Linked DNA regions of Oryctolagus cuniculus. The protein of the gene in region 1 purifies or fractionates together with the protein of each later gene. This does not show direct contact. Links are inferred from orthologs where the notes say so. Each region holds a gene or a part of one and is shown in the gene's direction. Other genes may lie near its edges.

Region 1 (3,524 bases):
CTCAGTTTAGAGGACAGAGTCTTTTCTTGGCTTTCTCAGTAATTGAGCAGCATGCATTTCTCTTTTCATTTAGAGTCTGGGATGTGAACACAGGTGAAGTTCTCAACACATTGATCCACCACAATGAGGCTGTACTGCACTTACGCTTCAGCAATGGACTCATGGTGACCTGTTCTAAGGACCGCTCCATTGCCGTGTGGGACATGGCTTCGGCCACCGACATCACTCTACGCCGTGTCCTGGTTGGCCACCGTGCTGCTGTCAATGTAGTAGACTTTGATGATAAATACATCGTGTCTGCCTCTGGTGACAGGACCATCAAAGTAAGTGAGTCTTTAATCATAGCCCTGCCTGCTTCTGTCTCTTATGGACCAGAGAGAGAGTGGAGACAGGTCAGTACATGGCAAGGTGTTTATTCTTCTTTAATGTTCATGAACCTGTGCAGCCTTCCCATTCCACATACTTTTAGTGTCAGGCAAGGTAGGAGGAAGTCATCGATCCAGAAAAGAGAATAATAGTTTTCCATTTCACGAAATGACATTGTTGATAATTTCCAAGAGGAAGAGAACCACACCATTGAGCACACATTGTGTGCTAGGGGCTTTATGTCACATCTCACTTAACCATCCTCGTACTTTTTGTTATTTAGGTGTTGCCTCTGATTCATAGCCATGGCTCAGAGGGTGAGGGAAGAACTCTGTTGAAGGTCACACAGCTAGTAGCAAATCTTGTTTTATTCACTTAACTTAGATAGCTTGCCTTGCCATTGACCCTGGGCTGGATATTGGAGATTTGGTGAGCCTGACCTGTCCATGCTTTCAGGAAGCTCAGCCTGTGGTGTGTATGTGAAGGCAGAAATAGGACGAGAAGTTGTAGCCTGGGATGGTCCACAAGATATGGTCATTGCAATTCTGATTCCAGTGTCCATGAAAACTTTTTAAAATTCTAGCTTTCTTCTGTATTTATGACAACTTTACTGAGATGTAATTTCCATATCATAAGATTCATTATTTTGAAGTCTATAATTCAGTGACCTTTTAGTTTATCTGAAGTGTTGTTTAAAATTACCCCAATCTAGTTCTGGAAGATTTTTATCTTAAGAAGCATCATACCCATTATGAATGAATCCCCACATGCCCCTTCCAGTCCCTGGCAGTCACTACCCTGACACCTGTCTCTATGAAAAGGCCCGTTTTAGATATTTTATACAATTAGAATCATACATGTGGCTTGTGGTTGTTTCAGTTTGGTTTTGACTATTATGAATAGTGCTACTATAAACATGTATAAGTTATTGCATGTTTGTGTATTTTTATTTCTCTTGTGATGGTAACTCTGTGTTTAATATTTTGGGGAACTACCAAACTATTTTCCAACATGAACTTACTGTTTTGCAAACATGCCAATGGTATATAAGCGTTTGAACTTGTTCAAAAAACTGTCTTTTAATGACAGTTAAAAGCTCTAGACAGTATTCTGATACCTAGCTCCACATAACATGGACTGTATTGTATCAAACTTTGGTTTAAGTGGCCTGGAAACTGAACACGTAGTATTTCTGTGTGTTGATTTATTCCATAGTCACAGCAGTGAGTACAAGACCAGTGCCTGAAGTCAACAGGGTCTGGGCCTTATTGCAAAAACAACTGTTTTGTAATATCAGCTGGAAGGTTTTTCCGTATTCTTGTCAACAGTTGTTATTACCTGTCTTTTGTATTACATCTGTCCTGATAGATGTACAAGAAAGAGTATCTTTGGTTTTGCTTTGCAGATTATAATAACTGATGGTATTCAGTATCTTTTCATATGCTTATTGACCATTTGTATATCATCTTTAGAGAAATATCTGTTTCAATCTGTTGCCCATTTTAAAAATTAGGGAATTTGTCTTTTTATCACTGAGTTTTAAGTGTTCTTTATGTATTCTGGATACAAGACCCTTATCAGATACATAATTTGTAAATTATTTTACCCTGTTTTATGGGTTGTCTTTTTTACTTTTTAAAAAATTTATTTTATTTATATAAAAGGCAGAGTGAGAGAGAGAGAGATCTTCAATGCTATTTCATTTCCCAAATGACAGCAACATCCAGGGCTGGGCCGAGCTGCAGCCAGAAGTCCAGAACTCTGTCCTAGTCTCCCACATGGATGGCAGTGGGCCAAGTACCTGGACCATCTTCTGCTACTCTCCCAGGTGCATTAGCAGGAGCTGGATCAGAACTGGAACAGCCAGGACTCAAACTGGTGCTCTGATATGGATGCTGGCCTCGCAGGTGGTGGCTTAACCCACTGTGCCACAACATCAGCCCCTTCACTTTCTTTTTAAAAATTATTTGTTTGAAAGACAGAGAGAAAGAGATCTTATATCCACTAATTAATTCCCAAATGCTTGCAACAGGTGGGGCCGGGCCAGGCCAAAACCAGGAGTCAGGAATTCAATCCATGTCTCCCACAAGGAGTTATCACCTGCTCTCTCCTTTGGTGCACATTAACAGGAAGCTGGAATTAGAAGCAGAGCCAGGACTTGAACCCAGGCATTGTGGAATGAATGTGGGCATCCCAAACAATGTGTCTTAACTTGTCCTCTAAATGTCTACCCCTCTTTTCACTTTCTTATGTTGTTCTTTGATGTGCTAATGATTTTAATATTGATGACATCAAATTATATTTTTAAATTTTGTTGTATTATTTTTATTTTGTTATTATCATCTAAGAAATCATTGCCTGATTTAGTGTCACAAAGATTTACTCCTCCGTTTTGTTTTAAGGGTAGTTTCGGCTCTTATATATAAGTCTTTGATCCATTCTGAATTACATATTTTATATGGTATAAGGTGGATATTTATCTCTTGTTTTGTATGTGGATATTCATTTATCCCATTTGGCTACAAATGCAGCTGGTAAAATGATTCACACCTCTCAGGTTGCCGTATATCTCTGCATTTGGCTTCCTAATATATTAAATATATTAAATAGATCTATAAGCATGATTTCAGAAAAGTGGGGATTATTTAATCCACATACATAATATTAGCATTGATGTTTCAAAACTAGTGGAGCTATTTAAGAACTTATGCTGGGGGCAGGTATTGCAGCACTGTGGGGTAAGCTGTAACTTTGAATATGCATGTCTCATATCTTGAGTGCCAGTTTACATCCCAGCTACTACTCTTCTGATCCAGCTTCCTTCTGGTGTATCCGGAAGGCAGCAGAAGATGACTGAAGTGCTTGGGTCCCTTCCACCCACATGGGAGGGCTGGATAGAATCCCCAGCTCCTGGCTTCATTCCAGCCAATCTCTGGCTTTTGCAGGCATTTGGGGGAGTGAATCAGTGAATAGAAGATTCCTCCCTGTCTCTGTCTATTTCTGTCTTTCTCTGTTTTTCTGCCTTTCAAGTAGATGAAAATAAACATCAAAAATAGACCTATGCTGAAAAAGAGGAGGGTATGAAAGATAAAGCTTTTTTTTGTATCAGTTACATTGGGTGTGATATGTCAGCTGGCGTAGAAATGTAAAATCTGACA
Region 2 (3,524 bases), on another chromosome or scaffold:
AGATTTATTTATTTTGGGGCTGGCACTGTGGTGAAGTAGGTTAATCCTCCTCCTGCAGCACCAGCATCCCATATGGGCACTGGTTCTAGTCCTGGCTGCTCCTCTTCTGATCCAGCTATCTGCTATGGTCTGAGAAAGCAGTGGAAGATGACCCAAGTGCTTGGACCCCTGCACCCACATGGGAGATCTAGAAGAAGCTCCTGGCTCCTGGCTTCAGATTGGCACAGCTGCTGCCATTTGGGGAGTGAACCACCTAAGAAAGACCTTTCTCTGTCTGTAATTCTACCTCTCAAATAAATAAAATCTTTTTAAAAAATTATTGATTTCAAAGAGTTAGAGATCTTCCATCTGCTGATTTATACCCCATATGGCTATAATGGCCAGGTTGGGCCAAGCCAAAGCTTCATCTGGGTCTCCCACATGGGTGGCAGAAGCCCAGACACTTGGGCTATTTTCCACTGCTTTTCCCAGGTCACCAGTGGGGAGCCGGATTGGAAGTGGAGCAGCTGGGATGTGAACTGGTATCCATATGGGAACTGGCTTTGCAGGCGGCTGTTTTACCCACTGTGCTACAATACTGACCCCTGGTTTTTAAGATGTATTAATAGGGCTGGTACTATGGCATGGTAGGCTGGGCTTCCCTGTGCAGTGCTGGCATCCCATATGGGTGCTGTTTGTGTACTGGTTGCTCCTCTTCTGCTAGTGGCCTGCAAGGGTGGTGGACGATGGCCCAAGTGCTTGGGCCCCCGCACCCACGTGGGAGGCCTTGGGGAGGCTCCTGGCTTCTGGCTTTGTATCGGCTCAGCTCTGGCTGTTGTGGCCATTTGGGGAATAAACCAGTTGATGAAAGACCTTTCTCTCTGTCTCTCCCTGTCTCTGTAGCTCTGCCTCTCAAATAAATAAAATCTAAAAAAAAAAAAAAAAAAAAATAGACTTATTAACTTACTTGAAAGGCAGAGTGAGAGAGAGATTTTCCATCCTCTGGTTCACCCCCTCAAACAACCACAATAGCCAGAGTTGAAGCCAGGAGCCAGGAGCTTCATCCTGGTCTCCCACATGGGTGGCAGGGGCCCAACCACTTGGACCAGCTTCCACTGCCTTCCCAGGTGCATTGGCAGGGAGTCGAATTGGAAGCAGAGTAGCTGGGATTCAAACCTGAGAAACTGGTGTTAGAAGCTGCAGCTTAACCCACTGTGCTACAACACTAGCCTCAATAGCTTAGTTTTTCTCTTACGTTCTCGGTTAATTCTCACATCCGGTACATTTGGAACTTATGTTGGGGAATGGTATTCTCTTAAGTAGAAAGTAATCTATACTTACACATTTTACCATTTATATTCCTATTTGTAAAACTTTTAACTGTTTCCCACTCACACAGGTACTGTGTGCTTTATTGAATATCCTTCTAGATCTTTCTTTGTGTGCCTGTCCAAAATGGTTTGGAACTTTTTTTAATTAGAGTCATGTTACACACATTTCCTGTTTTCACTGAGGGTTTACCAGGCCATTTTCCCACATAGGCTTGTAGCTCAGTCTTTGCCAGGTTACAGGACTTCAGCCGTTTCTTTACTGAAAGGCGTTTCTTAGACCCAGCCCTTTCCCGTGGCAGACCACGTGGCAGGGACCACCGCGTGCTGAGTGGATGTCTCTGAGGAGATCACGGAACGTGGGATGGGGTGGCCGCGTTTCGGATCGTCCTCGTGGGGGTGGTGCCTTCCACAGGGACAGGACCAGTTCCATCTTTCCCAGCAGCGTGGGAGTCTGTTTTCTTCTCAAGGACCTAGGACGAGACCGCCCTTTTTAGTATTAGCCGTGTGGTAAATCCAAGCCTCTCACTCTCATCTGCACACCTCTGGCTCCGAGCGGAGTCTCAGCATCCTGTCGCCGTTCACCCGCTGCTTGCCCTCTGACATTTCTGGTTTCTAACATTTCCCTCTGCATCTCATTAATCAAGTCCATGTCAGTGGCTACACGTCCTGACTGTTGACTGTGATAATCCCCAAAATGATCCAGCCCACTATTACACTGGTTTTTTTTTTTTTTTTTAATCTAAGACCATCATAGAAACTGGTTTATAATTCCGTTTTCTTGTGAAAACATTGTGGTGCTTGAGATTAATTCCGTCATTGGTTTGTGCCACAGAAATTCCCTTAGCAGTTGTTCGTGAATTGGGTTCTTACTGAGTTATGTCGGTCACCAGTTCTTTCTCTTCTACGCAGTCAGTCCTTTCGGGCCTGTGTCACACGGCTGTCCATGATGAATATCCTGACTCTGGCTGTGATCGGTGGCTAACTCTGCTTTTTCTCTCTTTCTCCTATAAACCAAACACCATAAACAGAGCCAATGAAGAGATCGCTCAGGTTCGGACCAAAGCAAAGGCCGAGAGCGCGGCTCTCCACGCCGGACTCCGGAAAGAGCAGATGAAGGTGGAGTCCCTGGAGAGGGCCCTGCAGCAGAAGGTACGAGGCCAGTGGCTGCCGTCGGTCCTGGCGCTGCTTAGCTTACAGTGGATCTCAGCCCGAGAGGCCTTGCCTCTCTGTATGCAGACCTCAACCCAGCTCCTCAGTGAACTGCTTCAGGTGGAGACAAAAAGTCGAAGCATTGTTCTTCCAGGCCTGTCGTGTGAGACAGCCTCGGGCTGGGAGCAGAGAGGTCATGGTGTTGTAAGTTTGGAGGACCAAAGGCTTCTTAGGGTCACGAGACCACCCTTTTTGTTTGTCATATGTGGCTGTGTCTCTTCCCTCTTCAGTGGTTGCAGTCAGTGGTTTCCAAGTGAGGGCATCGTTGCCTTCTAGGGGATGTGGGCTGTGTCTGGAGATGGGTTTGGTTGTCACAACTGGGAGCATCCAGAGGGCAGAGGCCAGAGATGCTGCCAGACGAGGACCTGCCTGGCCCCATAGCAAGCGTTGCAAGGGCTGGGAAGCTGCTGCAGATAGTGGAGATGAGTGGTAGCCACGGCCCCTGAGGCTCGCTGTTCAGCAGTCTGAGGCTTCGCTCTTCGACTGGAGTGTCTCTTGGGTTTCCTGAGTCTCTGCTTGTGTGCTCAGGCCTGTGGCTAGAGCAGGGTCCTTATTCTGACAGTTCCTAAGCCAGTGCTATCTAGGATAATCATATGCCTGAATCCCAGGTCCCAGAGACATTGAGGGCGATCCAGACACTTGTGGTTTTCACAGGTACCCCAAGGGATTCTTGCGCTAACAGGAACACTTGGGAGCTGAGGTTCCCGGGCTAGCTCCAGCAGCCTAGTGCCTGCCCCCGCCCCCCACTCAGTCTAAACAGTGTTGTGAGCACGTGTCCGTTTCTGGAGGAGGAGGTGCCCAGCCCTTGTTTCTTCACAGGGACGGGGCACCTGTTTCTACCAAGGACCATTTGGATATTTACCATATCATTCGTGGGCCATGCAAAATGATCAGCTTAAAACATTAGCCTGCTGTAGTGGCCTTGATGGGGCTGGACCAAGTGACCCTGTGGACAGGGCACCCCCACCCCGTGCTGTGCAAGGATCGCTGAATCACTGAATTAGG
Region 3 (4,103 bases), on another chromosome or scaffold:
TTATTTCTGATAGGTAGGGTGGGTCGCCTCCTGAGGCACAGCCCCCCTCCCCCCCCCATCCCTCCCAGCCGGTGGCTGGGCGGTGGCTGGAGGGTCAGAGCCAGACCCTTGACTGCCGAGAATGAAAGGAAACAGCACCGGGGCTGGGCAGAATGTTCAAAGTTGCTCCTCTCGGGTGGGACTGGAGCCTCCCCTCTCCTTCCCCAACCCTGCAGCGCCACCCCACCCCCCACCCCGCCACTCCCTTTCGCCAACCTCACCCAGGGGCGAGGTTCGGGCAGCGAGGGAAGGGACGCGGGTGCTCGCGACCCCTCCCTCCAAGCTGCGCTCCCCTCCTGAGCCTGTCACCCTCGGGAGGTCGCCGCTTCCCCAGGGAGACGGGGTGCGCTGCGTACCCCCCAGAAGGGGTGCAGCCCTTTGGCCTCATTCCAGGAAGACAAGGGCTCAGCTGGGAGGTGATTAGGTAATTAGAAGATGCCCAATTTAAACTAATGACAGATTCTACAAAGAAACGCCAGTTGAACAATACTATGCCATTGATACCAAGTGAGCCAAGCCACCATTGTAGGTTCTACTTCCATTACCGAGTTCTCTGGTCGCTGGCCCCTTCCTTGACGCCCCGGGTCCAGTCCAGCCGTCAGAGCCTCCCCTGGACTGCTAGAGAAAGCGGGGCCCCTGGCGGCCTCGGGCTCCCACCGGCGTCCCACCGCCTGCACTGGGCGTTCGGTCCACGAATTACCCTTTGGAGCTGCTCCGCGCTGCCAGACGCTGGGGCAAGGAGCCGGCGGGGTCAGGGGCGTCGGGCAGCGAGCGAGGGCTGGTCCCACCACTTTCCCAAATGCATGACCTTGAACAAGCCCATGAACTTCACGCCTCCACATCCGCGTCTGTGAAATGGGACGGTGAACGCAGCCCGCCCAGGGCCGCCGTGCTTGGCAAACGTGCCGGATCCTCCTGGGGCTCGCGCGCGATGTTAACCCCGGGTGCCTCTTTTCCGGACCCCCCTGGGGCCTGTGGCCCGCTCTGTCGGTGGAAGGTTCCACATTAGGTCCCAGAGCGCGGGATTCGGGGGGTCTCCACCTCGCGCCCGGGTTGGGGGTGGCGGGTGTGCAAGCCGTGGGATGGACCCCAGTTCCTCCGCCTCCCCCGAGGCTGGAGCTGGGCGGGCCGGGCTGGTCCAGCCCCCGCGCCTCTTGCTTCGCGGGCCCCGCCCCCGGGCCCGCCCTCCTCTAACCCGCGCCCCCATTGGTGGCGTCCGGCGGCGCGGCCGCTGTTATTTTTCGAATATATAAGGAGGTGGAGGTGGCAGCTGCAGTCAGAGGCTTCCCGGACTGGTGCTTGAGTCCCGCGCCCCTCACCCCTCCCCACCCTCCCCGCATCCCTCTCCTCCCTCACTCCCAGTCCCACTGCTCTTCCTCCCTCCCTCCCTTCCCCCAACCCCGGGCCCGCTCCCGGCCCCAGGCCCTCCACCCGCCCCGCCGCGATGGAGGTGCCCCGGCCGGAGCCTGCACCATGCTCGGCCCTTAGTCCGGCCGGCGTGCGCGGTGGCGTCCAGCGTCCGGGCCACCTCCCGGGCCTCCGGCTGGGGTCTCATGATCTCCTGGGGTCTCCGGAGCGCACGGCCGCTTCCTCGCCGGTCACCACCCTCACACAGACCATGCATAATCTGGCGGGGCTCGGCAGGTAGGACGCCTCCCAGAGGCTGGGCGTGGGGTGAGAGACCAGGACGGGGTCCTTCGGCTCCAGAGGAACCGCGCGTGGGAGTTGAGCACTACAGGTGGGGTGGGGATGCGGCCGGGTCAGCGCAGAGGGAGTCCCTACCCCTGCTTCAGGGGCCCTGGGCAAGGGGCATCAGACCCTCCAGGTGACCCTTTGGTCTGCGCAAGCCTCCAGGGACCCTCCTTCCCCTCCCCCTCCCTTACTGTGACTCGGCCACGGTGCCCCCCCCCACCCCAATCTCTGTCCGCATCTCCTCCATTTTCCCCAGGCGGGGAGATATGAGCCGGGAGGGGGAAGTTGAGGGTGGCAGAGCAGTGGGGTTCTCACAGGCCCATGCCTCTGCTCCCTCCACCCTGCTTCTGCCCCCAGGGTTCAGGTCATTAATCCTAATCCTGTTCCCTAAGCAAGCCTCAGGGGCTGGGCTGACTTCCCCCAGCAGCCATAGAGACCCAGGTCTCTCTCTCCAAGGAGGCCCTGGGATGGGTAGGGGTCTGAGGAGCAGAGGGCTCCCAGGGCTGCTCTCTCGGCTGCCCCACTGACCGCCACGCCAGCCCCCAGCCTCTTTGCCCTCGCCCTGTGATCACTTGCCCTGCACCTGGGAGGGCCTCTCCTAAGCCTGCCATCCAAGAGAAGGCACTTGGTGGGCTAAGCCTCCTTGTCCTGAGGAGCAGGTGGGCCCTTCAGAGCTGGGTGACTGAGAACAGGGAGGGCCTGGAGGCCTGCATTTACCTCTCTCCTTTTCTGGTACCCCCTTCCCCTCCCAGTGAGACCCCAGAGGCTCAGGCCGGGAGCCTGCTCTTCCGAAGCCGGCTGGCGCGTCTGTCCCTGTCACGGCGGGCATCCGAGTCTTCCTTGTCATCTGATTCCTCTGAGTGTTCTGATGCAGGTGAGGCCCCACACGTGGTTGGGGAGGTCTGAGTTTGGGGGGCTGCCTGGGCTGCTGGATGCCCTGCAAGGTCAGATTAACATTCTTCCCACAACCTGGTGTGCCCGGGAGCCTCCCTGCTTGGCCTGCAAAACTGGGAGGAAGACACACCTCTGGCGGGACCCACCCACCCAGCCCGGGCTGGTGGCCGGGTGGGGCCCTCTGTGGGAGGGGAGATCTCACCTATCCGAAACCAGGCACCAGAGTCCTTAAACCACACATACAGCCCCACCTGGGAGCCGCGGGAGCCTGCGAGCTGATCTGTCTACAGCATTCTCTGAGTCTGTAACTTTAAGAAGCCGTGATCTCTTCTAAAACAAATTATTTTAAACCAGTTCATGAAAAAAATGCTTAGCAAGCACTGTGGTTTTAAAATGTATAGGACAGGAGTTCCCATAGTAACAGGGAGTGGAGCCCTGTGTTGTGTGGGGACAGCATGTCAGCTCATGGCTAGGTTCTTGTCTCATTTTTTAAAGTGTGTCCAGATGGAAAGCAGAAATAGGGCTTCCTCCCCTTCCTGGGACATGCTGGGGGGAAACAGGTAGGGAACGTCACCCCTTTCAAACCCAGGCCCTCTGTCCCCACAGGTCTCTGCATGGATTCGCCCAGCCCTGTGGACCCCCAGGTGGCAGAGCAGACGTGAGTAGATGCCGGGGACCCCTACACAAAGGAGTCGCCACCTGCCTTTGGGAATCCCCGTTCTAGCAAAAGCTCGCTGGAGAGCTCTGGGAGAGTGGAAGGAGTCCTCAGGCCCCACAAAGAGGGCTCGGTGACCTGCCTTGGCCTTGGGCTTCGGCTTCCTGTCTCAGAAGTGTCTGCTTTCAGAAAGCTGGCTGAAAGTGGACGGGGGCCAGGGGTGGTGGGGACAGTGGCCCCTGGGAGCAGTGGGTACTGGACCCCAGCTGGGCCTTGTCCTATGGGAACATAAGTCCAATGTGTGTCCTGTTATCCTTTGTTGCTTCTACACATTGTTTTAAACTAGGAAATAATCACAATTTAAAAATATGTTCCAACTAACTCAGTGCTTTAATTCACTCTGTGTCAAACACAATACAGTTGCTTGCAGACTGATTGGGCCTTAGGCCCATCAGCAACCTCTGGCTTCAGACACTTGACCCCTGGCCAAGCCCTGGACCAGGTCCTTTGTGAGAGAGAGGGAGTGGACAGAGCTGGTGGGCTCTGCTGTGGACAGATACCTCCCCGTCGTGGCGGGGGGGGGGGGGCAGGAGTAATGCCATCCGCAGCACAGCTGTTCCCATCCAGCTGTTAAGACCCAAACAGGTGGAGCAGCTGCCAGCCATTAGTAGGGACAGCTGAGCATCCCTCTCCTGGGCTGGAGGTCTCTGGCTGTGGGTTTAAGGCATCAGCGGCTATGACTGCTGTTCCTCCTGTTGCCTTTGATCAGACTGGGCTGGGCTGCAGAGTTTGTTCACAAACAGGAAATGGGGAGAGAATTGGG
Region 4 (4,010 bases), on another chromosome or scaffold:
CAGAACACAGCTGTGCCTTTAAAGTTCTTCCTTTCAAGTTCTTGTTTATGGGCCATTTACCTTGAGTCAGTCACTATACTAAATAGTGTACATAATGATTCATTTAATCATTACAATTGCTTGTGTTAGGTGTAATTAACTCCCTTTTACAGAGGCTGATGAAGCAGGAAGAGAGAATATTAAAGTTAGGGTCAGAGCTGGAACCAAGGTCTTTCTGATCCCAAATTGTGTGGCACCCTCACGGGGTCCCAACTTCTCTAGGGAACAGTTTAGGCAGTAAGAGTCTCGCAAACCGTAAGGTATTCTAACATCATGGGGGCTGCCTCTCACTATGAAGTGACATGTCTCTTCAGTCCAGATTCTCTCAAAAGTCCCTCAATTCCAGACTGGACAAAAAGCTGAGGGCACTTAGAAGGGGTCAAAGTCCAACCACGGTATTATTATTTTTTTTTTTTACAAATGGGTGAGCTGAGGGCTGGCCAGAGCACTGGCCCCACATCACACGGAGAAGGGCCAGGAACCCAGTTTCGGTCCGTGTTATTTCTCTCATAACTTCCTCTTTGCAGTTAAGGGAAGTAGGGGCACGCCTATCGGCCTTCCCCCACCTCTCGAATGGGAAACTGCCTCTCCCCAAGGTGGTGACCTGGCCAAGAACACACTGGCATGAATGAGGGCTGGAATCGCCAAGACAGACGTCGTCAAGAGGCCTGTTCTCACCGATAAGGCCCAAATCCTCGGTGCTTCCTAATCAAGGGCCTGGTTAACAGGAGGGACTGCGAGGGGGCAGAGATGAGCCTACAGAGGACCCGGGCTCCGCTACCCCGGCCTTCGGGGTCGAGCCCTGAGGGCCCCAGAACGTGAGCCCTCTTCCGGGACACGCCTTTGGATCCGCAGCGTCGCGGTGCACAACAGTCACGTCGGGCCCAGGGGATCCGCCGCGGCCCGCCCTCGGCCCTCACTGCCGCTCGGGCCTTTAAGGGCGGAGGACACACGCCGGCGTCACAAAGCGCCGCCACCGCGCGGGCCAGCCGGGAGGAGGCGGGGAAGCGGGAGAGGAGGAGGAGGAGGAGGAGGAGGAGGAGGGCGAGGCGGGCGGGGGAGGGAGGGGCGCGCGCACGCGCGTCGGGCCGCCAGCCGCCGAGAGCCGCCCCCCTCCCGGCGCGCGCCCCTCCTCCCTCTCTCCCTCCCTCCTTCTCGGCTCCGTCGCTCCCGCGGCGCGCGGCGCTCTCGCTCTTCGCCTCCTCCTCCGCCCCTCCCCCCGCGCAGCCGCCGCCGCCGCCGCCGCAGCCGCGAGACCCCCGCGCGCCGCGCTCCCCCCGCCCCCTCTGGCCCCGCGCGCCCTCCGGCCCCGGCGGCCCCCGAGGAGAACGAGAGGGCGAGCGAGCGCGGCGCTCCCGGGCCGTCGCGGCCCCCTCCCCTTACCATCGCCGGCCCTCCGCCACCTTCCTCGGCTTCCACCTTCTCTCCCCCCCCCCAAGTTGAGGCCCCCTCCGGGGGGGGGAGGCCCGGCACCGGGAGCGAATTCCCCGAACTCCCTCTGCCCCTGCCCCCACCCGGCCGGAGTGAGGAGAAGGGCCCGGCCCGGCCCGCGTCGTGTGTGAGGAGGATCCCGGGCGGGCCCGCGGGCCGACTGGGGCCTGGTCCGGCCCGCCGGCGGTGTGAAGACAGGGGCCCGGGGCGGCCCGGCTCGAGGGCGAGCGCAGGGGAGGGGCCTGGTCCGGCCCGGCCGGTGCGTGAGGACTGGGGCCCCGGCCCGCACGGCCGCCGCCGCGATGGCCCAGCAGCAGATGACCAGCTCGCAGAAGGCCCTGATGCTGGAGCTCAAATCCCTGCAGGAGGAACCGGTGGAGGGCTTCCGGATCACCCTGGTGGATGAGTCCGACCTCTACAACTGGGAGGTGGCCATCTTCGGACCCCCCAACACCCTCTACGAAGGCGGCTACTTCAAGGTACTCCCATCCCCCGACCTGGCCGCGCGGGCCGCGGCCTCGGCTCCCCACCGCCCTCGGCTGTTTTCGGGGGCCAGGAGAGTGGGCACGGCTGAGTGAGGGGGCTCCTCGCCTCGACACCCCCTCCCCCATCCGTGGAGGCTGGAAGGCCTTGCTCACCCAGTGCCTTTTCTTTGTCATGGGGGCGGGTGCGGGAGGCCAGACTGCACCGGGAGAGAGGGAAGCCTCTCGGACTAGGGTCGTGGCTCCGGGAGGAGGAGGAGGCCTGTCTTTGTTTGCTCCCCAGCCGAGGGGGTGATGGCAGGAGAGGGGGGCTGCCTTCCCCTCCCGTCCTCCCATCACAACCCTCCCTGGCGCAGCTGGAACTGCCCCAGAGGGCAGGGTGACCTGCACCTACTGGATTGGACTTTTCTTTTTTGGGGGGTGGGGGTGGGGGAGGGGCACTAGCCTGTCATTCCAGAGGCTGCCAGTGCCCTGACATTTTGAGCGTTTGTTGGGCTGTGGTGGTTGCAACTTTGCGTTCCAGTGGCGATATTGAAGAATGGGACCCTAGGGGTGGTTAAAAAGAAAGAAAAAAAGACGGAGGGGGGGGTGCCTGCGGGATTTTTTTTGGGGGGGGGCCATTATCCACTTGAGGGAACTTTAATTTAGCCCTCTTTCTGTTCTCGTTCTCTATTTACCTCGGTCAATGGTTCTTTCAAAAATGCCCTTTGTCCTCACCCAGGCTCCCCTGCCCCCCGTGTAGAAATATCCACAGAAGGTGCAACATGTCTTGTAGGGCGACTGGTCTTTTCCCACTTTGGGGAGACAAAAATTGAAACCTTTTGCTCAGGTGGCTGGTTAACTAGCAAATGGGGTTGTCGCCCAGATGAAAAGTATCATGAGAGATGAGGCGATTTCACTGGGTGGGATGGCTCCTTAGCGACCAGAGACATTGTTTCTATTGTTTTCCATGATTTTAGGACAGTGGTTATTATTCCGGAATCTCGTGATTTTGTTTTTTTCTTTTGACCCCCAAGGCAGATATAACTTGAGTTTTTGCTTTTGTTTTTACGTTAGCATTTTTAAAGACAAGAATCACAGATTGAAGATTTCATTGTTATAAATGGTGGGGGCAGATACAGAGGAAATAGTGTTTAGGAATGCATTTAATATTTTTATTTCCACACACAAAAAAATAGGCCATTGAGTCAATTTTAGTTTGTTTTGAAGGGAGGGGTTATCTTGGCACAAGTTTTAAATGAGTATCTTAGTCATGTAGTTGTGATGTGTATTTTTAGGACTACCCAATTACTTAACTCTTGTTTTCTATGCTTCTAAAGGTGGAAGCCTCAATTTCAGACTTGAAATTAGGTCAACTTTGTAGAAAATAGGATTGATATGGAAATGTTTAATATTCACAGCTGTGATAGTCACTGAAAAGCACATGTTGAGAATATTATGAAGCCAAACCGATGGCTTTGGTTTTTTTTTTTTTTCCCCGTGGGCCACAAACAGTATACTTTTCAGATGTAGATTTTTAAAATTGCTGAGAAAAGGTGCAAGTTACTAGTGGCGAATTGGAAACGATATTGCTTGTCTATGTTGTCAAATATAAGTTTTTGTTTACAGATACTGGAAAAATTAGTTTCACAGGGTGGAATTTATATGAAAACTTTTCTAGTAAAGTATTAGCAAAATCTGGCTAGTGGTAGTGGAGTAAAGTTTAATTTCCAAAAAGTAATTTTTTGGGCCTGGTAAGTGGGTACTTGTTAGACTGGCCTTACTCCCAGGCAGTTTGTTAAAGATTGCAAATGAAAGATCATGTACTGCAAACTATAATACTTTTGCATCAGTAACTGGGGAAGGAGTGTGGAAAATCCTCTCCATTTGGAATAGGTAGTGTGGAAAGATTCTTTGTCGTTTACACTCATTAAAACCAAATGCTTTTTAATTTCAGTCCTGTTTAAAAAGAATGCTTTAATGTCTGTTTTGTTATGCTAGATTTCTTAATTTTTGAATGTTTTTACTTTTAATTCTCAAAAAAATATGAAAATTCTTAAACAGGTTTTATGTTTTGAT
Region 5 (4,130 bases), on another chromosome or scaffold:
AGGATGGTCCAGGTCCTTGGGCCCCTGCACCCGCATGGGAGACCTATCTCTCTCTGCTTTTCAAACAAATAAATCTTAAAAAACAAACAAACAAAAAACAATGTTGCTTGCATCGTGCACACCCCATTGCGGAGTCGCGGCTGGGCTCCCCCTTCCCGCTTCCTGCTAAGGCAGACCCTGGCGGGCAGCCGGGGCAGCAGCCAAGACTCGGGGTCCCTGCCGCTCGGGCGGCGCCCGTCTGAGACCCCCGCCCGAGACCCCCGCCCCTGGCCTCAGCTGGCGCAGCTCCCCGGCTGCTGGCCGGCGTCTGGGCCGTGATGCAGGGGCGGGAGGCCGCTCTGCCTTTCAAGGAAATAAAACGCTGATTATTCGGAGTGGACGGCGCACGCGCAGCCCCCGCGGCCGGGAAGCGGACTGCGCCGGAGACACCGGCGGGTGGGCGGGGTGCTCGCTCTCTTTCACTTTTCTCTTCCTGTTTTTTCAGAGCCTGGGAAAGCAAGTCAGAATTTCCAATCTTTTCCAATTCCCACATGGTTTCCTAATTTAGTGCGAGTTCGGAGAAGATACACACACACACAAAGTCTCCCCCGCACCCCGCTTTGGGGAAGCCGCGCGCAGCCTCACCCCAGGAGAGGGTCTGTGCCAGCCCCAGGCCCGCCCCCCGCCCGCAGGGCCGCGGCGGGAGGCCCCGGGCACTCTCGCGGGGGGCGGGACCCTGCGGGTTCGGGCGGCCCCTGGGGGTCCCGGGCGTGGGCAGGCGAGCGCGCCAGGGTGCAGAGAGGAGGCTGCGGGGCCGATCCGGGCGCCTCCCGCACTCGTCTCCGATGGGCCGCCCGCGGGCCGGGGCTGGCGCGGCCGAGGGCCCGGCTCGCCCGCTGCGGGCAGTGGCCGGCGGGGACGTCGGGCGCGCCCCGCACCCCGCGCGCCCCCCGCGCCGAGACGCGTGCGGGGTGAAGCCGCCGGCTCTCCGCGCGCGGGGCGGGCGGCCGCCGCCCAGCCGCTCTGGCCGCGCTCCAGCCCGGCCCGGGTGACATCACCAAGCTCCTCCGACCCGCGGGAGGGGGCCCCCGAAATCCCCTAAAAACAAAGTGAGTAATCGGCAGGCCCGCCCTCCAGGCGGGGCTGGGACGCGGGGGCGAGCGGAGCCGCCCCGGGAGCCGCCTCCGGGCGGGCGGGCGGGTGAGCGTCGGTGTCCGGAGCGGCCGGCGTCTGCCCCCGGCCCCCGCGGGCTCGCCCCGGCGCGGCGCGCACCTGCCCGGACCCCCGCGCGGGGCGGCGGCGGCGGCGGCGGCACAGGCACAGCGCGCAGGCGCGGCCGGGTTCCGGGCAGTGACGCGGCGACGGGCGCGCGCGGCGCATTTCCGCCTCTGGCGAATGGCTCCCCTGTAGCGCGCGCCGCGGGCCCAGCTGCGACCCCGGCCCCGCCCCCGGGACCCCGGCCATGGACGGTGAGGGCGCCCCGGGAGCCGGCGGGGAGGCCGCGCCGGGGCCGCGGGGGCTGTGGCGGGACCCCCGGGCCGCCTTCCGCCGCTTCCTGCGCCGCGGGCGCTGCTGCGCCAGGGAGCGGTCCGGCCGGCCGGTGGCGCGGGGCGGGGCGGGCGGCGGGGGTCTGACTCAGTTTCCCCTCCGCGTGGAGGGGGCCTTGACCGGGGGCCCTCCCGGGGTGGGGGTGCGGGGTGAGCTTTGAGGCGAGTCCGTCGCATGGCCTCTGGGGCAGCCCTGATGGAGTTGTTATGGGAGAGGGTGTGAGTCAGTTTCCTCTCGGGTGGGGGCTGGGGGGTGGGGGGCGCCCTCCCACAGCTCCTCCGAGGACAGTGGGCCGGGCCCTGACTCGGGTTCCCTCAGCACAGCCGGGGGTCCAGACCCCGTTTGCCCTTAGGAAACAGGTGTTTCTGGCTCCTGTACCCCCCACGGAGCAGGTCCTGACTCAGTTTCCCTGGGGCGGGGGGTGGAGGGGACCTGGGCTTGTGCTGACCCTTACCTCCTCCCCTTTCAGACCTGTTCCCCCTCATCTTCCCCTCGGGTAAGTGGGCCGGCCCTGCTCGGTGGCGGGGAGGGGCTCCGGGGGCTGGGGGGCTGGGGGCAGCCCCTGATGGGACCCCCGGCCCCCGCAGAGCCAGCCCAGGCCTCGGGCCCCTTCGTGGAGATCATCGAGCAGCCCAAGCAGCGGGGCATGCGCTTCCGCTACAAGTGCGAGGGCCGCTCGGCGGGCAGCATCCCCGGCGAGCGGAGCACGGACACCACCAAGACCCACCCCACCATCAAGGTCAGTCCTGCTCCCCCTGTGGCGGGCCGGGCGCGGGGGAGGGGCCGCCGAGCCGGCCCTGCCCCCAGCACGCGCTGTACTTTGCACAGATCAATGGCTACACGGGACCCGGGACGGTGCGCATCTCCCTGGTCACCAAGGACCCCCCTCACCGGCCTCACCCGCACGAGCTGGTCGGCAAAGACTGCCGGGACGGCTTCTACGAGGCCGAGCTCTGCCCGGACCGCTGCATCCACAGGTGAGCGCCCGGGGCCGCGCTGGGCGGACTGCTCTCTCCTGCGCTCCTCCTTTCTGGGAGTGGGACTCCTGGGGGACGGGCTGGGGCCCTGACCCTGTGGCTGCCAGCGAACCTGCGGTTCCCCCGAGCGCGCACCCGCGGACAGGCTGTAGGTCGTGCAGATAAACGGTGCACGTGGTGTCAGCCGTGACTTCCAGGCTGGGAGAGAGCCCGGCCGAGGGAGGGGTGCTGGTCTCGTGGCCTGGGGGCGGGAGGCCCGGGGTGGCCTCTGTCAGCTAGGCCTTGAATGGTGAGGCTGATCGGAGAAGCCCGGAAGCATCCCGGGGCGAAGGGAGAGGTGCCGAGGTCAGGGCCTGAGGGCGGGAGGCCGTCGACAGGAGCGGTGGTGTTGCAGCGCAGGGGAGCCGCTGCAGCCGCTGCAGCCAGGACCGGGGCGGATGGGGAGGTGCAGACGGGGCACCGCGGGAGGGTCCGCGCTCTGACGGGGAGGGGCTCAGCTTCCAGAACCTGGGGATCCAGTGTGTGAAGAAGCGCGACCTGGAGCAGGCCATCAGTCAGCGCATCCAGACGAACAACAACCCCTTCCAAGGTGAGGCCCCCCAGCTGCCCGCCCCGCCCCCGCCCCCGCCCCCAGCTGCCCGCCCCGCCCCCAGCCTCCGCCCCCGCCCCCAGCCTCCGCCCCAGCCCCAGGCCTCCGCCCCCGCCCCCAGCCCCCGTCCCCCCCAGCTGCCGCCCCGCCCCCCCAGCCTCCGCCCCCACCCGGCCCCCACCCCAGGCCTCCTGGCCAAGACGCCGCAGCCGGACACCACGTCCCGGCAGGGGACAGGACTGCGGGGTCCCAGTGCAGGCCTTTGTCCGGCGCTGTGGCACCCTTCGCCAGCCCCCAGGCCAGAGCGGCCGGCCCTCCCCGCCCCGTGTGACACCTGCCCGTCCGCCCGTCCGTTGTGACAGTGCCCATAGAAGAGCAGCGTGGGGACTACGACCTGAACGCCGTGAGGCTCTGCTTCCAGGTGACAGTGCGGGACCCAGCAGGCAGGCCCCTACGCCTGCAGCCTGTCCTCTCCCATCCCATCTTTGACAACCGTGAGTGGCTCGGGGGTCACGGGCAGGGGCCGGGGTGGGCCTGGGCGGCAGGAAGGCTGGTGGGCTGGGCTGCGGCGAGCTTCTGCCCGTCGTCCGGCATCCGTGTGTCATCTCCCGTGCCCAGCCCTGCTGGCTGCAGACAGGCAGGGACAGACCCAGAGCCGTCCTTGCTCTAGAGGGTGTGGCTTCGGGGCTGGCGGGGGTCTGATAGGAAGTGGGCGTTTTCCGGATCACGTGGCGAGAGAGTGGCATGCCCCCACCTACACCACGGACTGTGGGAAGTGGACATTACGAGAGCGAGGTGTCCTGGGCGGTGACGATTCCCTGATGACAGCCCGGGAAGCTTGCAGAGGGACTGGGCGGCATCATCAGTTGCAGTTTTTAATTAAATAATGAGCAGGATGAATAAAAATAGAGCAGCGCGGGAACCCTGGGGGCAGGAAGCAGGGTCAGGAGGGACGGGCGCGTGGCCAAGGTGGGTACGATGGGGCCCGGGAGACTGCCCGGGTCAGCGTGGCTCGCGCTGGGTCTGGAAGCCCCACG
Region 6 (3,444 bases), on another chromosome or scaffold:
CCATCTGGAGACAGGTGGCCGGAAGATCGAAGCAGATTCACGCACGCTCTGGGCCCACTGCTGGTGCCCTTTACTACAGGGTAAAGCTGGGGGATCAGATAGGGTGGAGGCAGAAGTGGAGCTGGAGCAGGGTGGGGAAGGGAGGTGTGCCAGGATCAAGATGCTTGGAGGGTCCTGACCCTGCTCTCACTCTCAGGCATTGCCTGCCTGTGCTGTGATGCCCGGCGCCAGGTGCGGATGCAGGCACTAACCTATCTGCAGCGGGCACTACTGGTACATGATCTGCAAAAACTTGATGCCCTGGAGTGGGAGTCCTGCTTTAATAAGGTAGGACTTGCTATTGGTCTCAAAGTTCAAATCCCTAACACAAAGCCAGGCACCCTGAAGAGCCTGTCATGTCAGTCTTCAGCCTGCACCGCTCCTTCCCTTCTGTTCTGTGCCCAGCCACTCCAGCCCCTGGATTCCTGGGGGCAAGGCTGCCTGACTGACCCTGCTGGGAGACACTGAAGGTATTTATCCACCAGGTGCTGTTTCCTCTATTGACCAAGCTCTTGGAGAACATTAGCCCTGCAGATATCGGTGGGATGGAGGAGACCCGGATGAGGGCTTCCACACTGCTCTCTAAGGTATTGCTCATCACCCACCTGTCCTCTCCACACCTGCCTTTTCTCAAGGAGAGGAGCCAGGGCTTCTGGTAGGACCTAGAGATGCAATGTAGGTTCTCAGGACCCCCATTTTTAGAAAATGAGCAGGACCCGGGACCTGGGAGGATTCTGGATTTCAAGAGTCTCTGATCTTGAGATTCATGTGCAAGTTAGAACAGGCTTGCCTTCTGACCCTGGAGAGCGGTGCAGAAGGCTGCTGTATTACACTTGGCTGAAGGGGCTGGCTGGCCATAGGTCTTCCTGCAGCACCTGTCTCCACTGCTGTCCCTCTCTACCTTTGCGGCCCTCTGGCTCACCATCCTGGACTTCATGGACAAGTACATGCATGCAGGCTCCAGTGACTTACTGGTATGTTCTACCTCACCTTGACCCCCATTGCCTACCTCCTTTCCCACTGGTGGGAAGACTTTCTTTCTGCCCTTTGCCATCCTCACCTATACCCCTTTCCCTCTTCTCCTGGCCCCACTACCACCTGCAGTCAGAGGCCATCCCTGAGTCTCTGAAGAACATGCTTCTGGTGATGGACACAGCGGAGATTTTCCACAGCGCAGACACACGAGGAGGCAGCCCCTCAGCCCTCTGGGAGATCACCTGGGAGCGCATTGACTGTTTCCTGCCCCACCTACGAGATGAGCTCTTTAAGCAGACTGTCATCCAGGGTAGGGGGCTCAGCCCAGCTTCATTAAAGAGTCCCCCAAGCTGAATTAGTTCTGTGTGCCCCCAGTGGGTGGAAAGGCTGGTGGGTAGCCAAGGCTCTGATGGAAAGAAAGAGTTGCCATCTGAGTTCCCTGTCCTCCCCAGACCCCATTCCCATGGAGCCTCACAGCCAAAAACCTCTGATCTCCGCCCACCTGGCTCCTGCTGCTGGTGACACCAGGACACCTGGCCACCCACCTGCCCCAGAGATACCCTCTGAGCTGGGGGCCTGTGGTGAGTCTCTCAAGGCGAGCTTGTTCTGAGGGTTGTGCAGGAAGCAGGAGGCCTAAGGGGAGGCCCAGGGTACCTTAGGATTGCTGCTGAGTAAGGACTGGGAGCCAGGGGAGGGAGGCAACCAGAGAATCCTGTTTGCCGACTGTTCCTATGGAGAACGGCAGGACTGAAGAAGCTATTACGAACTCACTGCTTGAGCCTCTTGGCTCTTGGCTCTGGGAGGAGAGGGCTGGGTCATACTTGGAAGGAACACACAGAGGTTTCCCTTAAAGGATTCTAGTAAAGACTGACCAGAATTAACCTGACAATGGGTGCAGCAAAACAATGGGGGGCTAGATAGAAGGTAGCTAAAACCGAAATGAGTTTCAAGGGGAGCCTCCCACATGGCCTGGGATGGTAATCAGGAGGAACAGAGGTTTGATGCCAGCTGGGGAGTGAGAGTTGTCTGACTGCAGCCACCTTGCTCTCCTTACAGACTTGGAGAAGCCTGACCCACGAGCCACCAGCAGCAGCTCCCCGGGATCACCAGTGGCCTCTAGCCCCAGCAGGCTGAGCCCTACCCCAGATGGGCCAACGCCACTGGCTCAGTCCCCTCTGATCCTACAACCCTTGGCCTCCCCACTGCAGGTTGGCGTGCCACCCATGACTCTGCCTATCATTCTCAACCCTGCACTCATTGAAGCCACCTCTCCGGTGCCCCTCCTGGCCACTCCACGCCCCACAGACCCCATATCCACCTCCGAGGTCAACTAAGGCAGGTCCCTCAGATACCAGGACAGATACTTCCCATCAGGCTATCCCTGCCCCGCCTTCCGGCTGTTCCAGGGGCCACAGTCCCTTCAGGCCCAGTCTAGTCCAAGCTGCTATTGCTGCCACTTGGATTGAGAAAAAGAACTCCTGTAGCCTCTGCTGGGACCCACTTCCGACTGCAGGACCTTCTTCCTCCTCTGCTCTCCAGTCCTCGGCGTCTAACCTGAGAGCACCCTCAAGTGTCACCTGCAGTGTTTATCTCCAGCTGGCAGCTCTTGGGAGGCATCACTGTGCCAACCCTTCAATGCCCGCCCATGTATCCTCCTGCCCATGGTCAGGCATTGAGAGCCAAGCCCAACCACTCTGCACTTTCTTTCCCTCCCCCAGCACCATGCCCATCAGCCCTGGGCCACCTCCTCCAGTGCTTCCTCTTTTATTAATTAGTCGGTCAGTTTAGAAAGTTGATTGGCACCGTAGATGGTGAGCTGGTGGAGCTGATTGGGGGACTGCCTGCAGGAGCATGTACATATAGAAAAACAGGACAACAACGGACTTTTTATGATGTAATAAATGTCTTAGTACCAACATCCTTGGCTTTTCCTCTAGTTTTCTCCTTGAGTTTAAGAGTCAGGGCACTGTGTTGTTGGGATGCCTGGGGCTTGGGCCTTATGCAAACAGAGGCAAAGTGAAGAAAAGCTTACCAGTAGCTGGCCCAGCTGGTGCCTGGGTCAGGATTCTTTCACTGCTGCTGCCATACCTGTGCCGTAGCAGTGCACTTTTGTCACCAGAGGTGTTCCAGGGGCTTGGGTAATTGTCCTTTTCCATAACTGCTCCAAGGGAGATATCTGATACAGCTTTGCCTGAGAGCAGAGGGAAGATAAGCAAAAGCTGAGTTGAGTTCTTTAGAAGCCTCCCATCGGAGCTGCCTCTCAGTCCCAGAGCACAAAGACACCCATGGGGCTTAAGAGGGGCCCGGGTCACCTTGCCTGCATCTGTAACCATGTGTTTCTGGGTACAGAGCATTCATTCTGACCCCAAGCTGAAGAGGGACCATTCTTCCCGCGCACAGCCCGCATCCGCCCCAGCACTGCAGTAGGAT
Region 7 (3,976 bases), on another chromosome or scaffold:
AAACCCATGGAACCTCAAGTCATATTTTAGTTAAAAGAAAAAAAATGAATGAATGTAGAAAAGTGTACACTAGGCCTTAAAATAGTTGGTTTTCTCTTTCTTTCCTCTTTGGTTCAATGAAGATGAACATTTTGCAAGTCTGATTTTCAGCCTTCTCAATGGCCAGTGTTTGGAATAAAGTCACTGAAAACTTTGGTAGGCAAGCACTTTAGGGAGGACTTTATCCACCTTGTGTCCGCTTCCATCTTAACCCATAGTCTGCTGTTTAGACGCAGGGAACACGAGTACAGAGGTGTAACAGGAAAACAAGAACTTAGGCAGCTGGGCGCAAATGAAAAGACCCGCAGAGATGGAACTTGAGGCGCTTCCGGGGTGGGGTGATCCTGGACAGCTGCTCTGGGACCCTGCGCCTAGCGCGCTGTGTGTCCCCTGCCCTCCCTGTCCAGGCCAGGACGCACAGTGTTCTGCTCTGGGAGGCGCGCAGACCTCCCGGGACCCGCGTCCTCCGCTGAGTCCGAGTCCCCGGGGCTGCCCGCACCACGCGGGACCCCGTCTCCGGTGCGCACGGCAGGTAAGAAGCGAGGAGCGCAGGCGTCGCCCGTCCTCGGGGCCCTCGGCTGGCGACCCCGCCCTGAAGCCCGCGCCGGGGGCTCGGCCCGTCGCCCCCCGGGTCTTCGCCCTCAGCGACGGTTCTCAATCCGCACACCCGCCTGCGGGTCTCCACGCTTAAAACGAAGCTCCAGGAGCGAAGGCAGCCGCGGCGGAGCCCCGAGGCGACTCGGAGGGGCGTTTTCCGAGCGCCGCCGCCCCCGCAGGCCGGCGACCATGCGGCTCTGAACCCGCAGGCTTTGCTCACAACGACTCCATCCTCCACGCGTGCACGCCCGGGGCCGGGGGGGGGGGTCCCGTCTGTTGTTCTGTTTAAACGGCGAGACACAGCGGGACCCGCCGCCCCCGCGACCGCTAGGGCCGGCGTGAGCGACCGGGAGGACCAGGTCCCGCGCTCCGGCCCGCGGGCGCGCCCCCGGCGGGGCCCGAGCGCTCGCGCTCCCCGCGCAGGCTGGGCGGGGCGCGTCCGCGGGCGCGCGCGCGGGGGGCGGTGGAGGGGGCGTGCCCCGCGGGCGCGCGCGGGCGGGGGCGTGTCCCGCGGGCGGCGGCGGCGGCGGCGGCGGCGCGGCCCGGGTGCGCGGCTCGGCGTCCTGTGCTGGAATGTGCGGCTCCCGCGGGCCGTCGGCGCAGCAGCAGAGCAGGCGCCGCCGAGGCCCCGGGCCCCAGACCCCGGCGGCGGCGGCGGCGGCCGGGAAGGCAGCGCGAGGGCCGGCGGAGGCTTGAGCGACGCCTGCAGCCTCGCTCTTTCGACGGCCGCGGCGCCCAACTTTTCCATCCTCCCCTCCCCTCCCTGGAAACTCCGGCAACAAAGAAAAGGAGTCGGCGAAGGAAGCGGCGACGCCGGGTCGCCCGCGCCTCCCGGCCAGGCGAGGCCGGTGAGCGCCGCGCGCGCGCGTGTGCGGGGGGCTGGGGGCTCGGCCGGGGTGGGGGAGGGCCGGCCCGGCGGCGGGAGGGGGAGGGCGCGGAAGGACGCGGAGCGAGGCGCTGTCCAGGGCTGATTTGCAGATACGGTGGCTCCGGCGGCGGCGGCCGCGCCGGGCGGGGGCGGGCGGCCGAGCGGGATCGGGTTACAGCGCGGCTGCCCGGGGGCTGGGCCGGGGGCGTCGGCGGGGAGCCGCGCGGCGCCGGGACCCCCGCCCCAGCCGAGGCGGGGCGGCCACCCCCGCCGCCGCCGCCGCTCGGAGCGCGCGGTGCTCCCGGGGCCAGGAGCGGAGCTGCTCGGGGCCCCGGTCCTGAAACTGGTCCCCCCGGTCCCCCCTGGTCCCGCAGCCCCTCGGCCCCGCCGGCACCCACCCCGCCCCCGCCCCCACCCGGCCTCTCCCTTTCGCCGGAAGGCGCCGCGGAGCGCGGCCGGCCGGGCTGAGTCAGCCGCGGGGCCCGGGCGGTGCCGCCCGCGGGGCTGGACAGCGATTTTCCGCGCTCCGGCCCGCGGGCCTCCGCTCCCCGGGCCGGCCCGGGCGGGACGCGCGCTCCGCCGGCCGCTCAGCGGAGTGAAGTTCGCAAACTTCCGGGGCGCGGGGGCGGCAGCCGGCCCGCGTGGGGGCCCCCTCGGGCGCTCGGGGCCCGGCGCCTGCGGAGGGCGCCCGCGGAGCCTGCCCGGGCCCTGCGCGGAGCGCGGCCGGGGGCGGTCGCAGGAGCCCGGCGCCGCTGGAGGTAACTTTCCGCCCTCTTGCCGGACGCGGGCCCGCGGGGCCGGGGAGGGGGCTGCCGGGGCGCGGGGCAGAGACGGCGGCCGGGCCCCCGGTGCCCGGAGTCGGGCCGCGTGTCCGGTTCGGCGTGGGGGCGCGCGTGGGGGGCGCAGCTCCCGCGAGCGGAGGGGGTGCGTGTGCGCGCGGCGAGCGGGCCGGGCCGAGAGGAAGCGAGAGCGCCCGAGTTTGCAAAGAGCTGCTTTGTGTTTGGTATTTTGAGAAAATGGCCGAATGCCTATTTGAGTGAGGAATGCCGCGGCCGGGGCCGGCGCTGGAGGCCGGGCGCAGAGGAATTCGTGCGGCACGCGGGGCTCCGGGGCCATGCTTGGCCGGCCCTGGCCGGGAGGCGCCCAAGTCGCTTCCAGGACGGCGCTGAGGGCGCCCGGCTGCGCGGCCCCGGGCCGGCCTGGCCTCCGTCCGTGTGATGGCATTTGGGGCACCTTCCGTGGGCGCACGGGACCCAGCCGCCCGCCCGTGTGCATGCACTTGGGCCAGACGCTTGCTTTTTGTTTGTGAATTTGCAGTGTAGCTTCCTTTTAGGTTTTTTTTTTTTCCTTTTTTAAATTTTTTCCCAGTAATTGTCACTTTGCTTTTTTGCTAACGTGCAAGAGGACACCTTTGAGATTGGGAAGGAGCCTGGTTAAGGCCATTTAAAAAGGCCAACTTGTTTTCAGGAAAGTGATTTTGTAATGGCTTCCTCTGGGCGAGTAGGCCAAGTGAAGGCAGTGCCAGTACGAGTTGCTGGTAGCCGAGTGGAGTTGCAGGATTGCTTTATTAGGGGGCTGAAAACTGTTTTCTTCCGTGAAGTTTCGAATCAGCCAGACTTTGTTTTTCACACGAAAAAGAGTCCATAGGGTGTGTTCCCTCCCCCCCCCCCCTTTTACGTTGGAGTCATGGGAAATTCAAGAGGGACTAAGTGGTACTTTTTGTTCACAGCAGTTTTATTCTTTTGGAGTTAGTTGAGTTCATATGAAATTCAATTAAGTTGACCAATTTTTACAGGCCTCCTACTTTACAGACGTGTTTGTGGACTTCATAAATGCAGAGAGTGGCTTGTGGATTTCCCGGGGTTCTGATTCAGACCAGTGAACCCCTGAAGGGGAGAATTTGGAGGACAAATTCCTCACTCATCAAACTTTTAGAGTAATTTTAATTAACATTAAAAAATGGAGGTTACCTTTCTCTTTTCACCAGAATTAAAAGGGCTTGATGGAAGATTTGCCAGTGATTGATCAGTTGGTGAATAAGCTATGTAAAATAATTGGTAGAAGTTTTTTCTAGGGATACTAGAAATTTTCTTGGTGACCGTAAGAGAGTTGGGAATTGATGAATATTTTGTTTCTTTTTAGTACTAAATAAAATTATGTTTAATTCTAATTTTCCACAGATTTTTAAAAGACTGACGTTTTTGTTTGAAAGGCCAGAGTGACCAGATTGAGAGAGAGAGGGATTGATCTTCCCTCCTTTGGTTCATACCCCAAATGTCCCCAGTAGGCATGCTAGGCCAGGCTTGAAGTCAGGGATCTAGGAACCCCTTTTGGGTCTTCCATGTGGGTTGCTGGAAACCAAGTACCTGAGCTGCCTCCTGGGTGCAGTAGCAGGAAGCTGGATCAGAAGTACTGAGCAATTGAAACTTGACCCAGTACATCCCAAGTAGCAGCTTCACCTGGGCCAGGAAG

What was found.
Region 2: the proteins of FBXW11 (region 1) and TACC1 purify together in Homo sapiens (affinity purification with mass spectrometry; 3 studies listed by BioGRID and IntAct, counting the BioPlex papers as one, with this or other methods). This does not show direct contact. The link is inferred for Oryctolagus cuniculus from reciprocal best matches to the Homo sapiens genes FBXW11 and TACC1.
Region 3: the proteins of FBXW11 (region 1) and CDC25B purify together in Homo sapiens (affinity purification with mass spectrometry; 14 studies listed by BioGRID and IntAct, counting the BioPlex papers as one, with this or other methods). This does not show direct contact. The link is inferred for Oryctolagus cuniculus from reciprocal best matches to the Homo sapiens genes FBXW11 and CDC25B.
Region 4: the proteins of FBXW11 (region 1) and UBE2R2 purify together in Homo sapiens (affinity purification with mass spectrometry; 4 studies listed by BioGRID and IntAct, with this or other methods). This does not show direct contact. The link is inferred for Oryctolagus cuniculus from reciprocal best matches to the Homo sapiens genes FBXW11 and UBE2R2.
Region 5: the proteins of FBXW11 (region 1) and RELA purify together in Homo sapiens (affinity purification with mass spectrometry; 6 studies listed by BioGRID and IntAct, counting the BioPlex papers as one, with this or other methods). This does not show direct contact. The link is inferred for Oryctolagus cuniculus from reciprocal best matches to the Homo sapiens genes FBXW11 and RELA.
Region 6: the proteins of FBXW11 (region 1) and GBF1 purify together in Homo sapiens (affinity purification with mass spectrometry, with the first as the bait; 3 studies listed by BioGRID). This does not show direct contact. The link is inferred for Oryctolagus cuniculus from reciprocal best matches to the Homo sapiens genes FBXW11 and GBF1.
Region 7: the proteins of FBXW11 (region 1) and REST purify together in Homo sapiens (affinity purification with mass spectrometry; 7 studies listed by BioGRID and IntAct, with this or other methods). This does not show direct contact. The link is inferred for Oryctolagus cuniculus from reciprocal best matches to the Homo sapiens genes FBXW11 and REST.

Annotation. Positions count from the first base shown.
Region 1 is NC_091437.1:58,572,797-58,576,320, reverse strand, and holds part of FBXW11 (F-box/WD repeat-containing protein 11), read left to right. Parts: intron 1-73; coding exon 74-323; intron 324-3,524.
Region 2 is NC_091433.1:88,581,733-88,585,256, forward strand, and holds part of TACC1 (transforming acidic coiled-coil-containing protein 1), read left to right. Parts: intron 1-2,338; coding exon 2,339-2,459; intron 2,460-3,524. UniProt on the Homo sapiens protein: Involved in transcription regulation induced by nuclear receptors, including in T3 thyroid hormone and all-trans retinoic acid pathways. Might promote the nuclear localization of the receptors.
Region 3 is NC_091442.1:29,126,776-29,130,878, forward strand, and holds the start of CDC25B (M-phase inducer phosphatase 2), read left to right. Parts: upstream 1-1,303; 5' UTR 1,304-1,483; coding exon 1,484-1,683; intron 1,684-2,483; coding exon 2,484-2,605; intron 2,606-3,231; coding exon 3,232-3,283; intron 3,284-4,103. UniProt on the Homo sapiens protein: Tyrosine protein phosphatase which functions as a dosage-dependent inducer of mitotic progression. Directly dephosphorylates CDK1 and stimulates its kinase activity.
Region 4 is NC_091432.1:196,853,170-196,857,179, forward strand, and holds the start of UBE2R2 (ubiquitin-conjugating enzyme E2 R2), read left to right. Parts: upstream 1-1,196; 5' UTR 1,197-1,772; coding exon 1,773-1,949; intron 1,950-4,010. UniProt on the Homo sapiens protein: E2 ubiquitin-conjugating enzyme that accepts ubiquitin from an E1 ubiquitin-activating protein, and catalyzes its covalent attachment to other proteins by an E3 ubiquitin-protein ligase complex.
Region 5 is NC_091432.1:6,038,327-6,042,456, forward strand, and holds the start of RELA (transcription factor p65), read left to right. Parts: upstream 1-1,309; 5' UTR 1,310-1,441; coding exon 1,442-1,448; intron 1,449-1,996; coding exon 1,997-2,023; intron 2,024-2,114; coding exon 2,115-2,266; intron 2,267-2,355; coding exon 2,356-2,504; intron 2,505-3,001; coding exon 3,002-3,093; intron 3,094-3,455; coding exon 3,456-3,587; intron 3,588-4,130. UniProt on the Homo sapiens protein: NF-kappa-B is a pleiotropic transcription factor present in almost all cell types and is the endpoint of a series of signal transduction events that are initiated by a vast array of stimuli related to many biological processes such as inflammation, immunity, differentiation, cell growth, tumorigenesis and apoptosis.
Region 6 is NC_091446.1:27,564,434-27,567,877, reverse strand, and holds the end of GBF1 (Golgi-specific brefeldin A-resistance guanine nucleotide exchange factor 1), read left to right. Parts: coding exon 1-80; intron 81-196; coding exon 197-327; intron 328-524; coding exon 525-626; intron 627-899; coding exon 900-1,013; intron 1,014-1,143; coding exon 1,144-1,324; intron 1,325-1,466; coding exon 1,467-1,595; intron 1,596-2,070; coding exon 2,071-2,348; 3' UTR 2,349-2,932; downstream 2,933-3,444. UniProt on the Homo sapiens protein: Guanine-nucleotide exchange factor (GEF) for members of the Arf family of small GTPases involved in trafficking in the early secretory pathway; its GEF activity initiates the coating of nascent vesicles via the localized generation of activated ARFs through replacement of GDP with GTP.
Region 7 is NC_091439.1:107,748,353-107,752,328, reverse strand, and holds the start of REST (RE1-silencing transcription factor), read left to right. Parts: upstream 1-1,152; 5' UTR 1,153-1,484; intron 1,485-1,636; exon of another isoform or gene 1,637-2,262; intron 2,263-2,838; exon of another isoform or gene 2,839-3,152; intron 3,153-3,976. UniProt on the Homo sapiens protein: Transcriptional repressor which binds neuron-restrictive silencer element (NRSE) and represses neuronal gene transcription in non-neuronal cells.